Astyanax mexicanus: one gene and its partners. The protein of the gene in region 3 interacts with the protein of the main gene of each other region in a biochemical or structural test. Links are inferred from orthologs where the notes say so. Each region holds a gene or a part of one and is shown on either strand. Other genes may lie near its edges. The genes, in order: mitfa, nlk2 and lef1.

Evidence for each region.
Region 1: the proteins of lef1 (region 3) and mitfa form a complex in vitro, tested with the Homo sapiens proteins (2 studies listed by BioGRID). The link is inferred for Astyanax mexicanus from reciprocal best matches to the Homo sapiens genes LEF1 and MITF.
Region 2: of the proteins of lef1 (region 3) and nlk2, one has a biochemical effect on the other in vitro, tested with the Homo sapiens proteins (4 studies listed by BioGRID). The link is inferred for Astyanax mexicanus from reciprocal best matches to the Homo sapiens genes LEF1 and NLK.

What each region holds. Positions count from the first base shown.
Region 1 is NC_064412.1:2,748,740-2,752,492, forward strand, and holds the start of mitfa (melanocyte inducing transcription factor a), read right to left. Parts: upstream 2,518-3,753; 5' UTR 2,289-2,517; coding exon 2,256-2,288; intron 1,498-2,255; coding exon 1,270-1,497; intron 244-1,269; coding exon 148-243; intron 1-147. UniProt on the Homo sapiens protein: Transcription factor that acts as a master regulator of melanocyte survival and differentiation as well as melanosome biogenesis.
Region 2 is NC_064425.1:29,109,377-29,113,129, forward strand, and holds the start of nlk2 (serine/threonine-protein kinase NLK), read right to left. Parts: upstream 2,325-3,753; 5' UTR 860-2,324; coding exon 399-859; intron 1-398. UniProt on the Homo sapiens protein: Serine/threonine-protein kinase that regulates a number of transcription factors with key roles in cell fate determination. Positive effector of the non-canonical Wnt signaling pathway, acting downstream of WNT5A, MAP3K7/TAK1 and HIPK2.
Region 3 is NC_064414.1:45,612,320-45,616,072, forward strand, and holds the start of lef1 (lymphoid enhancer-binding factor 1), read right to left. Parts: upstream 2,132-3,753; 5' UTR 1,315-2,131; coding exon 1,099-1,314; intron 1-1,098. UniProt on the Homo sapiens protein: Transcription factor that binds DNA in a sequence-specific manner. Participates in the Wnt signaling pathway. Activates transcription of target genes in the presence of CTNNB1 and EP300.

The DNA of each region.
Region 1 (3,753 bases), on a different chromosome or scaffold from region 3:
ATTAAATGTGTAGTTTTATACCAACATCATATTTTGATGTGACTAATTCACAGACATATTTCAGCAATTAGACAATTACAATGAATTATGTGTTGAATTTATTTTATTGAATTATTGGAAATGAACAAGAAAGTTTATTCTTCTTACTGTATTCGCCATCTGTAGTCCTGTATCCATGAGTCCGAGTATATCATCATTATAACTCGACTCCAGGCTGATAATATCTTCAATTACATCGTCCATCTGCAGCAGCAGCAGCACCAAAAACAAAAGAGAACAGAAAACAAAAACACAAAATACACTTTAATTACATTTAATCAGATATAAAAAAGGAACTCTATTAATTACTCTGTAGGTACAAGTACAGATAATATGGTTTAAGTATCAAATCAAGCTTTTTTTTTTTACTCTTTGAGTAAAAGTGTAGTAAAATTTCTCTAATTCCAAAACTACTTAAAGTATAAAAGTAAAAGTAAATAGAACTGATTGAATTTTTGCACCAGGAGTAAAGCAGCATAAAGTTATCCAAAAGCAGTGTGTAAGACTGGTGGAGGAGAACATGATGCCAAGATGCATGAAAAAAAAAACTGTGATTAAAAACCAACCAGGGTTATTCCACCAAATATTGATTTCTGAACTCTTAAAACTTTATGAATATGAACTTGTTTTCTTTGCATTATTTGAGGTCTGAAAGCTCTGTTTATAGAACTCTAGCTCTCTAGTTTATAGAACAAAACAACAATGTTCATTTTATTCAAACATAAACCTATAAATAGCAAAATCAGAGAAACATATTCTTCCCCCAGTCCTTAATCATGTTAATCTGAGCTAAAGGCTTAAGATGCTGTTTCCATGTGGGTCAGCCAGACGTCTTCCTGTAGCAGTTTTTTCTCCAGTTTCCAAGAGTCTTTTGAAGGTTTTATCTGTAATTTATCTAAAGAAAAGACTTCTACTTTTAAAAGTTACAGATTTCTCTGTGTTTCTGTGTCTTTTTTTAGTCATTATTTTGATTTGTAATTTGGGAGAAATGTTGTCTGTAGTTTATAGAATAAAACAACAATGTTCATTTTAGTCAAACATAAACCTATAAATAGCAAAATCAGAGAAACTGATTCAGAAATTGAAGTTGCCTCTTAATTTTTCTCATTGCTTGAGTTAGAAACAGTTAAACCAGTAAAATCATGCAAATAATAAAATTGACATTAATGCATGTTCTAGATTCCTCATAAACGCATATATTTCTATTTTAAACATATATACTGTACGTACCTCTTTCTCGCAGTTGGAGGTGAGGGTGAGCAGGGCCATAGGGCTGTTCGGGGCGCTGGCTCCTGGGCCGGGGGGCATGCCGTGCTCCGGGGGCTGGCTCGGGCACGGCCCACTGCTGGCCTGTGGGCTGAGTTTGGCCCCCAGGGTGCTGGACAGGTAATGCTTCACCTGGTGCCTCTGGGCCTGCTGGAGGTGGTACTTAGTGGGGTTCTCCAGGTGAGTCTGTACCTGGACGGAGGATTGTGAACAAATTCAGAGCAAATTCAGTACATTTCTGTAGGATTGAGACATATATTTAGCATATATTTTGGGTGACATTGGTAGACATACATTCGATTGGTTTAAAAATGTAAATTTAAAGTGTTTATGCAATATTAGCATATAATATAACAGCTAATTAGCCTATTCCATAAGAAATACATTAACAAGTACACTACAAGTGCAGCAAGTACTAAATTCATTGCACTATAAACTATAAATATATATACTATATATTTACGATCAATAACAATACAAACAACTTAAAAACAAAACAAACACCAGCACAAAAACATCACAATGTCAATTAAAGTCAATTATCAAGACTAGAATAAAAAAAACGCAGTTGCTTTAAAAGCATTGACTTTCAGTTTTAGGTCTAATTAACTTAATTTTACTGTAATTCCAGTGTATTTCTTTACATATTCCCAGACATATACGTAGATTTATTTATGACCCACATTGTCTATGCCTCATTGTATTGGACATATAAGTGCTAGGAAACATTATATAAAGTTTAAAATTAAAATATGAATAAATGAGTAAAAAAAACAAGTAGGAAAAAGTTTAGTGACCCAAATTTTGGGTTAAACACCCTCAATCAATCAAACCTTTATTTAAACTTGGATTACTGAATGATTTTAAAAATGAGCTGTAATCATTTTTACTCAATTTTTAAGGCCAATCAAATTCTATGTAAAGTCAATTCCTGTCAAATCACGTCTTACCTGGTAATGGCTGTACTCAAGCATCTCCAACATGTTGTCTTGTGCAATGAATCAGTTCATAAACCTCAATAAACGTTGATAAACGCCGATAAATATTCCCTTCGTCAGGTTGAACCCTTTACGATGGCCAAGCGAGAAAATAAGCTAACAAGCTAACGAGCTAAGGGCTAATGAGCTAACGAGTCAAATCGCAAATGAGCGCCAGTGGAGCTCCTCAGCAGGTCGAGCTCAATCTGAGGATATTTAAGGAAGGGGAGGAGATCTATTTGCCCTCATACTGAGATTTTTCCCCTAAAATGAAGACTTTATGCTTTTATAGAGTTCATTTGACGTCACCATCCCCAATTCACAAAAGCCCCTTTTAACTGATGGGTAGCTAGTCTCTAAACTGAAACTGGCTTTAGGCTAACTACTGTTTCATCTTTAGTTCCGCTCGCCCGGCATAAAACATTGTTTGTTCTGAGCATCGAGGAGACAATCGCCGCCACTGTGCCTTCAAAAACGAGGCAGAGTAAATTCTGAAATGCTGGAGAGAGAGGAGACGAACTCATACACACCACAAACAACACACACTCCTCCAAACACACACTCCTCCAAACACACACACTCCTCCAAACACACACTCCTCCAAACACAACCCTTTAAACTCTTCTCATGAGCTTTAAAACTCCTTCAACCTGTCGCTAATCATACGATTTACTTCACTGAGAAGTTCTGAAAAGTTCTGCTGCTGACGAAGAAGCAGGACGAGTAAATGGATAGATGGAGTTTAGATGGTCCATTATACTGTAGATGCGTCACCAACATTCATCTGACATTCAACAAAACATCCATTAACCCTACCTTCAAATTTACTATAAAGTATTTACTTTTATGCTTGGCTATTTTAACCTCCAGACAATTATAATATACTGATTAAAATTGTAACAAAAATTTATTTCACATGCTATACATATATAGCCTTCAAAACAATACCCCCACTTATACAACCAGAATACATGTGAAAATAGAGACCTTTTTAATGTTTTAATGTCAAGCTGTGTGAAAGGATGGACGAGGAGAGTGGAAACACACACGCAAGTAATCTTTTATGAAAATAACAAACAATCAAACAATAAAACAAACAGGAACTTGTACAACAAACTGAATCACAAACAGAATTCAAAAAACGCAGCCGAGACAGATGTATACACGCACAAGAACCGACAAACTAACACTGAACACACAGGAGCTTAAATACACACACAAGGCGGAAAGGGACAAGTAACACTTGGGGACCTATTAATGAGGGGAGGAGCTACAAATTAACACAGGTGACAACAGTAGAGGTAAAGACACGGATGAACACAGGGGTGGAGCTACATATGAAAACAGACAGAGCACTAGGGGAAATGACAGGCATGAGGCACAGGTAAACAAACACAGGGAAATGTGACCACAGAAGTGGAACAGGGCAGAGATTTATATTATTTATAAATACATATTTTTGTCATTTAAA
Region 2 (3,753 bases), on a different chromosome or scaffold from region 3:
CATCCTATAGCAGTGATTCTCACAGAAGTCTTGATGGTTTTCAATGGTTACAACACAGCAATGGAGCAATGTGAGAACAGTCTACTTGTCCCCAAAGTCTAGTTTGACCACCAAAACCAAAAGGAACCAAAAGTAAATGTTTCTTAAACAAAATTGCGGAAAGAAGACTTTCAAATAACTTTATTTGAGATAGTTTTATTAATGTTGGTTATTTTAGAACTACATGGAAACTATGCCCAAGTAGTTATTATAGTGGTGGCCTCAACGGAGGCCTCAAAACATGAGGCCTAAACTCTGCAGAGCTGCAGCCCTCCAAGACTCAAGCCTGACACCCCTGCCACAGAGTTCAGGAGATTGAAGCTAAAGAACCTGCTTCAGCAAAACAGGCCGCCACTCACCAGACCACACCGAAGGCTCCGTATCCAATGGGCCTGTCCGGCTCGATGTCCAGTTGCTGCTGCAAGTGGTGAGCATGCTGATGGTGGTGATGATGCGCCTTGACTGCCGCAGCGGCCGCCGCCTGGACCTGAGCTGGGGCTGCAGCCGCCGCCGGGCCAGGGGCTTGTCCGGGAGCAGGCGAAGGGAAGTACGGCTGTTGCTGGCTCGGGTTCAGCATGACTGCAGCCGCCGCAGCCGCGGCCGAGGCGTGCTGCTGTTGCACAGGGTGCACGGCCGCAGCCGAGCCAGGGTGCTGCAGGTGGTGCTGGCCCGGGTGGTGGTGATGGTGCAGGTGAGGAGGCGGAAGGTGTGGCAGTTGGTGGTGGTGGTGAGGGTGATGGGCCGCCACGGCCGAGGCGCCGCCACTGTACGCAGCCATCATTTTTGCGGCATTGGTCGCCGTCGTCCCGCAAAGAGCCATTCACTCAACAGCCAGAGGAAGAGAGGGAAAGCGAAAAGAAAGGAAGAGAAAAACAAAACTAAAGAGAAAGGGGACAAGAGCGAAAATGGGGTCTCCTGAAAGATCAAACAGGCGAAGAGATGGAAGAGGCCTAGCCTAGATCATTGGCCTGCTATCTATCCAATGGATGGACATATCCAAACAAAAATGCTTGGAGTAGAGCAAAGTAAGTGTGACAAGTGTGAAAAGATGTTGAGTGACAAGACTAGATTTGAGTGGCTTTAACATGAGTGCACCAGCTCTGTCTCTCTCTCTCTTTCCCTCTCTCTCAGCTCTCATAAAGTCAACTCCATGCTTCAGCTAAGCTAGCTATCTTCCATTTGATCTGACCTACTTCTGGGAAATGCGCTTTGCTCTCTTATGGCCAGGCAGGCACTACAAATTTCCCACAATCAGACCACAATCACAACTGCACATTCAGAAAAAGCCTGAACAGCTAAAAAAAGCAAGGAAATGAAAGAGAAAGAAGAATGAAAGAAAATAAATGTTGATGATGATGGTGATGATGATGATGTGACTAACAAAAATCCCACTCCCCCCTCAGTCCAGAGATCCTGTATGGCCTTAAATCTCCCTCATGTTGGAGGTAAGAAAGCTCTCCACTCTCCAAACAACCTGAGGCCCTTGTTTCCCTCCTTTTATCTCCTGTTTAAGAGTGAGAAGGTTGAAACTGAATGTGGTGGGTTAAGTGGGGAATGCAACCTTCATCTTTTAGACTTCTTCACATTGGCCATGTTGGCTGGTCCGGAGCCGAGGCTGCTTCCACGGCCGGAGGCTGCATGCAGTGTTTTTGGAGTCAGTGAAGAAGTTAGCACTGGATTCTCGCCCAAGGCCAGCACCTCCACAACCAGCACGGAGCTCTGGTGCTCGCTAGGCGGCTGAGATCACTCTGTTTCGGGGCAGAAAGTGGACCAAACCCCCTCCATATATGCAGCTATTCCTGCTTCTGGGTTAGAGCTAGGAGAGGCTGGCTGGCTGGCAGGGTGGATGGATACGACAGGTACTCCTGAACAGCTGTAGCTGTAAATCTCGCTGCTTCTCCTTTTCCCAAACGTCAAAATCGAAGCCCCCGAAGCCCCTCCGGTCCCCAAGCCCCCATCGCGTCGACGAAACAAGCCGAATCACCCCTTCTCCTCCCCGGAGCGAAGAACACAAATTCTTCCGGAGCCAGTCAACTTATTTTCTCCATCGACTCCTCCGGCGTGAGGCAGCTAACCCTACACTGCTGTTCCTTCCAGACACCCTGGCATAAATCCGCTCCAGGAAAACAGATCCACAGCTCCGCGCACCGCGGAGGAATCGCGCAGCCACAGCCGGACCCCGCTGCTGCTGCTGCCGCCTGGACGTTAAGGCAACACGCGCCCGAGCCTGAGCTTCTTCAGACCAACCGTCGACTCCCCCCCTCCCCTTATGACTGACGCCCGTGACCGACGTCCATTCTGACCAACCGCGTCGCGACCCAGCCACCCTCAACCAATCACAGCGCGCCGCTCTCGCCTCTAATGCGGGCTTGCAGCCAATGGGCGGAAGGGGGCGGAAACAGGCGAGCGACCCCAGCAGCAAAACAAAGTGGGGCCTGTTGCCTGTGAAACGGACGCCATTACGGCAAGAGAGAGCCGGTGTTCTGTCAAGTTGCACTACCCGTCAAAATCTGCTGCTTAGAGGCCGTGCGCATGCGCCGACTCACATGTTTGAAAAAGGTTTTTTAATGTGGATTTTTTATGATAAAAATCATTAATAAAAATAACCTATACTTTTCATCGCTTGCATAAAATAATATAAGCTTACTGTAACTATTTCCTTGAGGTTAAAATAAAATTAAAGCAAATTAAAAACAAACATAAAAAAGCTTAGTTTCGTTTTTTTTTTTTTTTTTTTTGAGCGTATATTTCCCTGATGCACTTATTTTGGCCATATAAAATCCAGCTATACTTCTGCTGGGAGTATGTAAGATATGGTGCTTCTAAACGTTTTAAACGGAAACCAGAACGTATTTTTCTTTTCCATACTGTTTGTTTTACCTAGGCAGCTCTACCTATAAATAGAGCTTCGCTGTCGAAGCACGTTTTGACAGGGTAGCACAAATCGGCACAACACAGGCCAGCGCCGGGGGAGCGGACGGGCCAAACCAACCCAAATGGCCGAGCTGGAGCTCCGCTCTGCCCGCTGCAGATCAAGCGGAGGCAAATAATAAAATAATTAAATTGAGCAGTTATTCAGCCCGCCGCTGAACGGCCTCTCTGGGCTGGGAATGACTGCCACCATCCGCCGGCAGGTTACTGCCCCAGGCGTGCAGCCGCCGGGGTAAAGGTACAGGCGGCGGTAAAGTTTGGGTTTGGGGTCAGGTGAACTTTCTCATCCAGCACCTTCCTAAAGTAATCGTAAAAAAATCGCCTAACTCATATTTTCAAGTTTTTTTTTATAGGAAATACATAAACATTAGACATTTAAAAATAAGCAATGGTTTAAGAGGATATTTTATCATACAGTCAAGCAGTTCAATCCTAAATCCTGAATTCTAAAAATATTGATTTAAAAATCAGAAAACATTTTAACAGCCACTTCTAGAATACTTCTAGCTTTATGGAATTGACTGCTGACTAAAATCCAAACTAAAAATACAGAAAAAAAAATAAATAATAAAAAATAAACCTCAATAATGAGACTAAAATGTATTCATAAAAAGTAAACTTTATATAATAGTAAAACTCTCATCACTTACTAGGTGGGGATGTTGGAAAATTAGATCAGTGAAGGGAGCTGCCATCTTTTTTAGGCATAATTTACTAGCTTAAGTCACACTCTTTGCATTCCTAAAACTGAGAGTATAGGGGATTTTACCACAGGTGGCTAGT
Region 3 (3,753 bases):
CTGTTATTTCAAGTCATTTAAATCGTTTAGCTTATACTGAAAATGTTCTACATCTAATGGTGAAGTGTAGGGAGTGTATGAATGGATTAGAGAACTCTTGAGTGGTTATAAAATAACAAAAGAGAAACATTAATGTAAAATTTAGTTTAAGCTACAGCTGAGCATTTTTTATTCACAGGTTCCTCAGTCACAGATTTATCAGGTATTTAAACTGCAATTTCAATGGTTAAGGGCTCCACTGTTGTTTCAAGCCAAATATGCATTTATTTTGATTTTTTTTTTTTTTTTGCGTAGTCTTGAAGTAGTGATATAGTGCACTGGCTGTGTAAACAGATTGAGTGGCTGTATTTTTTTCCCAGGATATTTAAATACTTAAATGGCAATTTCCATGGTTAAACAGTACTAGTTTATAATGAAGACACAGTTTAAAGGTTCTGCTCATACAAAACAGGCTTCACTGCTGTTTCAAACCAAATAAGCATTTATGTTAAACATTTTCTGTTTAGTGTACTGGCTGTGTGAATAAATTAGATAAATCGAGTGAGTTTATAACAGCAAAATATCAAAAATATAAAACTCAGATTCTGAGTTGAAGCTACTGATGGGAAAGCATTTTCATTCACAGTTTTTTCCAGGTACTTTAAGTACTTAAATGGCAATTGCCCTGGTTAAATAACACTTAATTTTTTTTTGCTCATAACAAAAAGGGGTTTACTGTTGTTTAAAGCAAAATTATCATATATTTTGATCATTTTCTTTGAAACATAACTCTTGAGTGATTGTATAAGAGCAAAATATAAAAAAAAATATTCATTCAGTTTTTTGTAGGTAATTTAAGTACTTAAATTGCCATTTCACTGGTTAAACAGTTCTTGTTTATGATGGAGACACTGTTTAAAGGGTCTACCTACAACTTCACTGTAGTTTCAAGCCAAATAAGCATTTATTTTGAACATGTTCTGTGTAGTATTGCAGGATTGGTGTATTGCACTGGCTGTGAGAACGAATTAAGGGAGTCTTGGTGGTTTTTAACAATATTGAGTCATTTTAGCCCCCACTTTCCCCCTTCCTCCAGCAGGTAGTTTGTTAGTTACTCACATCGTGGCCGGTGCTGTTGGGACTGTCCTCCGTTTCGTTAACCAGAGAAGATTTGATCTCGGCTAAATCTCCTTCCTCCTCCGAGTGGCTGATCTCTGCAAAGATCTGCTCTTTCTGCGGGTCTCCTTCGTCCTTGAAGGGAATCATTTCATCTGTGGCGCAAAGCTCTGGATCTCCACCTCCGCCGCCACCTCCACCTCCAGCTAGCTGGGGCATGATAACACGCTAACGTCCCCCCCAAAAAAAAATCCCCTCAGAAAAAATAATAAAAAAATCACAGAATAAACTTGTGTGAAAACTTCACGTGGGAAGGAAGCGCGTGCGGGGAGCAGCAACAGGAGGAGAACCCAAGGTGTGTGTGTGTGTGTTTGTGTGTGTGATCAAAATGTGTGTGTGGGACAAAGCCCTGAGTTTGAGGAGGAAATATTGAGATACAATGTCTCAATCTCGCTCTCTCTCTCTGTTTTTTTTTTTTTTTAAGAAATAAAAAGAACTTCAAAGAGTTCAGACTTTTCACACACTCTGTCTCACACTCACACACACTTCTTTCTTCTCCAGGCTACTAACACACAGCCAGCACAGCTCCCGACGTGTGTATATTTCCTCCTCAGACAGAAAAAAACAAACACCCACTCAATCAATCAATTCGATTAATCGCACTGATTGAACGCCAAAACCGCACAACAACAAACAAAAACACTGACACAAGCCGCAAAAACTCTGTGAAAAACTGTGAACAAAAAATCTGTAACTTTGTTTCTAGTTGCGCTTCAGTCTCAGAAAAGCTCCATGCGAAGAAAAGCGAAGATTTTCTGCCCAAAAAACTCGAACAAAGTGTTTTAAAAAAAGTCGTTGCGCCGAAGCGTCAGAACGTCCAAAGCGGAGCCTCGACGCTCCTCGCGAGCTGCAGACCCTCTGACTGCCTGCCTGACTGACTGAGAGAGTGTGTGAATGTGTGTGTGAGAGAGAAAGAGAGAGAGAGTGTGTGTAATGTAGCTTTGCTCTCTCTCTCTCTCTCCTCCCTCTCCTCCTTTCCTCTCCCACACTGACTGTAGGGAGAGAGATGAAAGGCGAGCCGCCGAGCTGATTGACACCGCAGCGATTGACACTCCTGAGGAGGAAGAGGAGGAGGAGGAGGAAGAGGGGGTGAAGGGGTATCCATCTCTCAGCAAATGGCAGGACAGCAAAAAAAACAAAAAAAAAACAGTATTTGGAGGGGGGTTTAGGGTGTTAAAATTAAAAGTGTGCATATACACACAGACACACAAACACATAAATGCACACAAACGAGCCCCTAAATTTTTTTTAAAAGTTTTCTAAAAGTTGTTTTTAATGATAGAAAATCTCCAAAATCAGATATTCGAAACGTTTCTCGTATTGTGTGTGCGTACAATTGACGCACCAAAAATATTTAATAAATTAAATGTATATTTTAATATTTATATTTATGTTAATATTATTAATTTAAATAATATATTTGCTTAGAAACAATTGTAACGATTAAATTGTTATGATTACTCACTCAAATTCCACATTAGAATTTTATTCAAATAAATAAATTGAATCGCAGAAATAGACAGGACTCTTATGGCACATTTTGTTGCCCGTTACAGCAGTAAATCAGTGGTACAGGTATGAAGCTGGATTTGAAATGTATTTTAAAAACATTTAAGCTCTAGGGCAACAATAATGACAATTAGTTAGTCCAGGTTAAATCAAAGCTTTTGCCTAAAATGGTAAAAAATAAATAAATAAATAAAGTGATCTAAGGATGTATATGTATAAATCAAAGCAGCATGTAAATAATTGATTAAAACTGATAAAATATTTACAAATATATTTATATTATATATAATGTAATGTATGTATATATATATATATATATATATATATATATATATATATATATATATATATTTTATAAATAACTTTAGAAACTATTGCTCTACAGTTTCATTTAATATATATATATATATATATATATATATATAGTGTTAAACATCACGTCTAGCACGTAAGGTATATATTATAGGTATATATAATTAGACCTGTATAACCCTACTTTGAATTACTTGCAAAACTAGATCCTATAGCTTTACATTTCTCCTGTTCTGCTTGGTTTTCAGAAAAGTGGGATATCTTAGTGAAACCATAATCACTCATTCTTTCACAGAAGCTGAGTGTTGGTAGAGTTTTTACAGGCTGGGTTTCAGTGCTGAAGGAAAGAGTGAATAAAGGAAGGGATGTTTAGGCTGAGTGAAAGAGGCCAGGGCACATAAAGAAAAAGAAGAAAACCCGACACGCGTTTTTAATGCAGGACACTCAGCATCGTAAAACTGCGGAGAGAGAGAATCATACACTGAACGCGATAAACTACTAAATAAACCTCAGTGACTCAGACTCTGTGTGTGTGTGTTCGTTCAGTGTCTGCTGGTTGCGTGAGAGTGAGCGTGCTCCGACAGAGGTGGGCTTTATAAAGCAGTGGGCGGGGCTTGAAGGCTGGGCCGCGGCTCCCTTTGATCTTCAGGGCGGCTCTTTCATCTGTTCCCCCCCACCCGCCCCCCTCCCTACTCTGCTCCCTCTTTGTGTGTGTAACTGTGGAGGGAGGGCGACCACGTGCGCGCGCGTCCCAGCTCAGGGGTGGGGGGGTGCAGG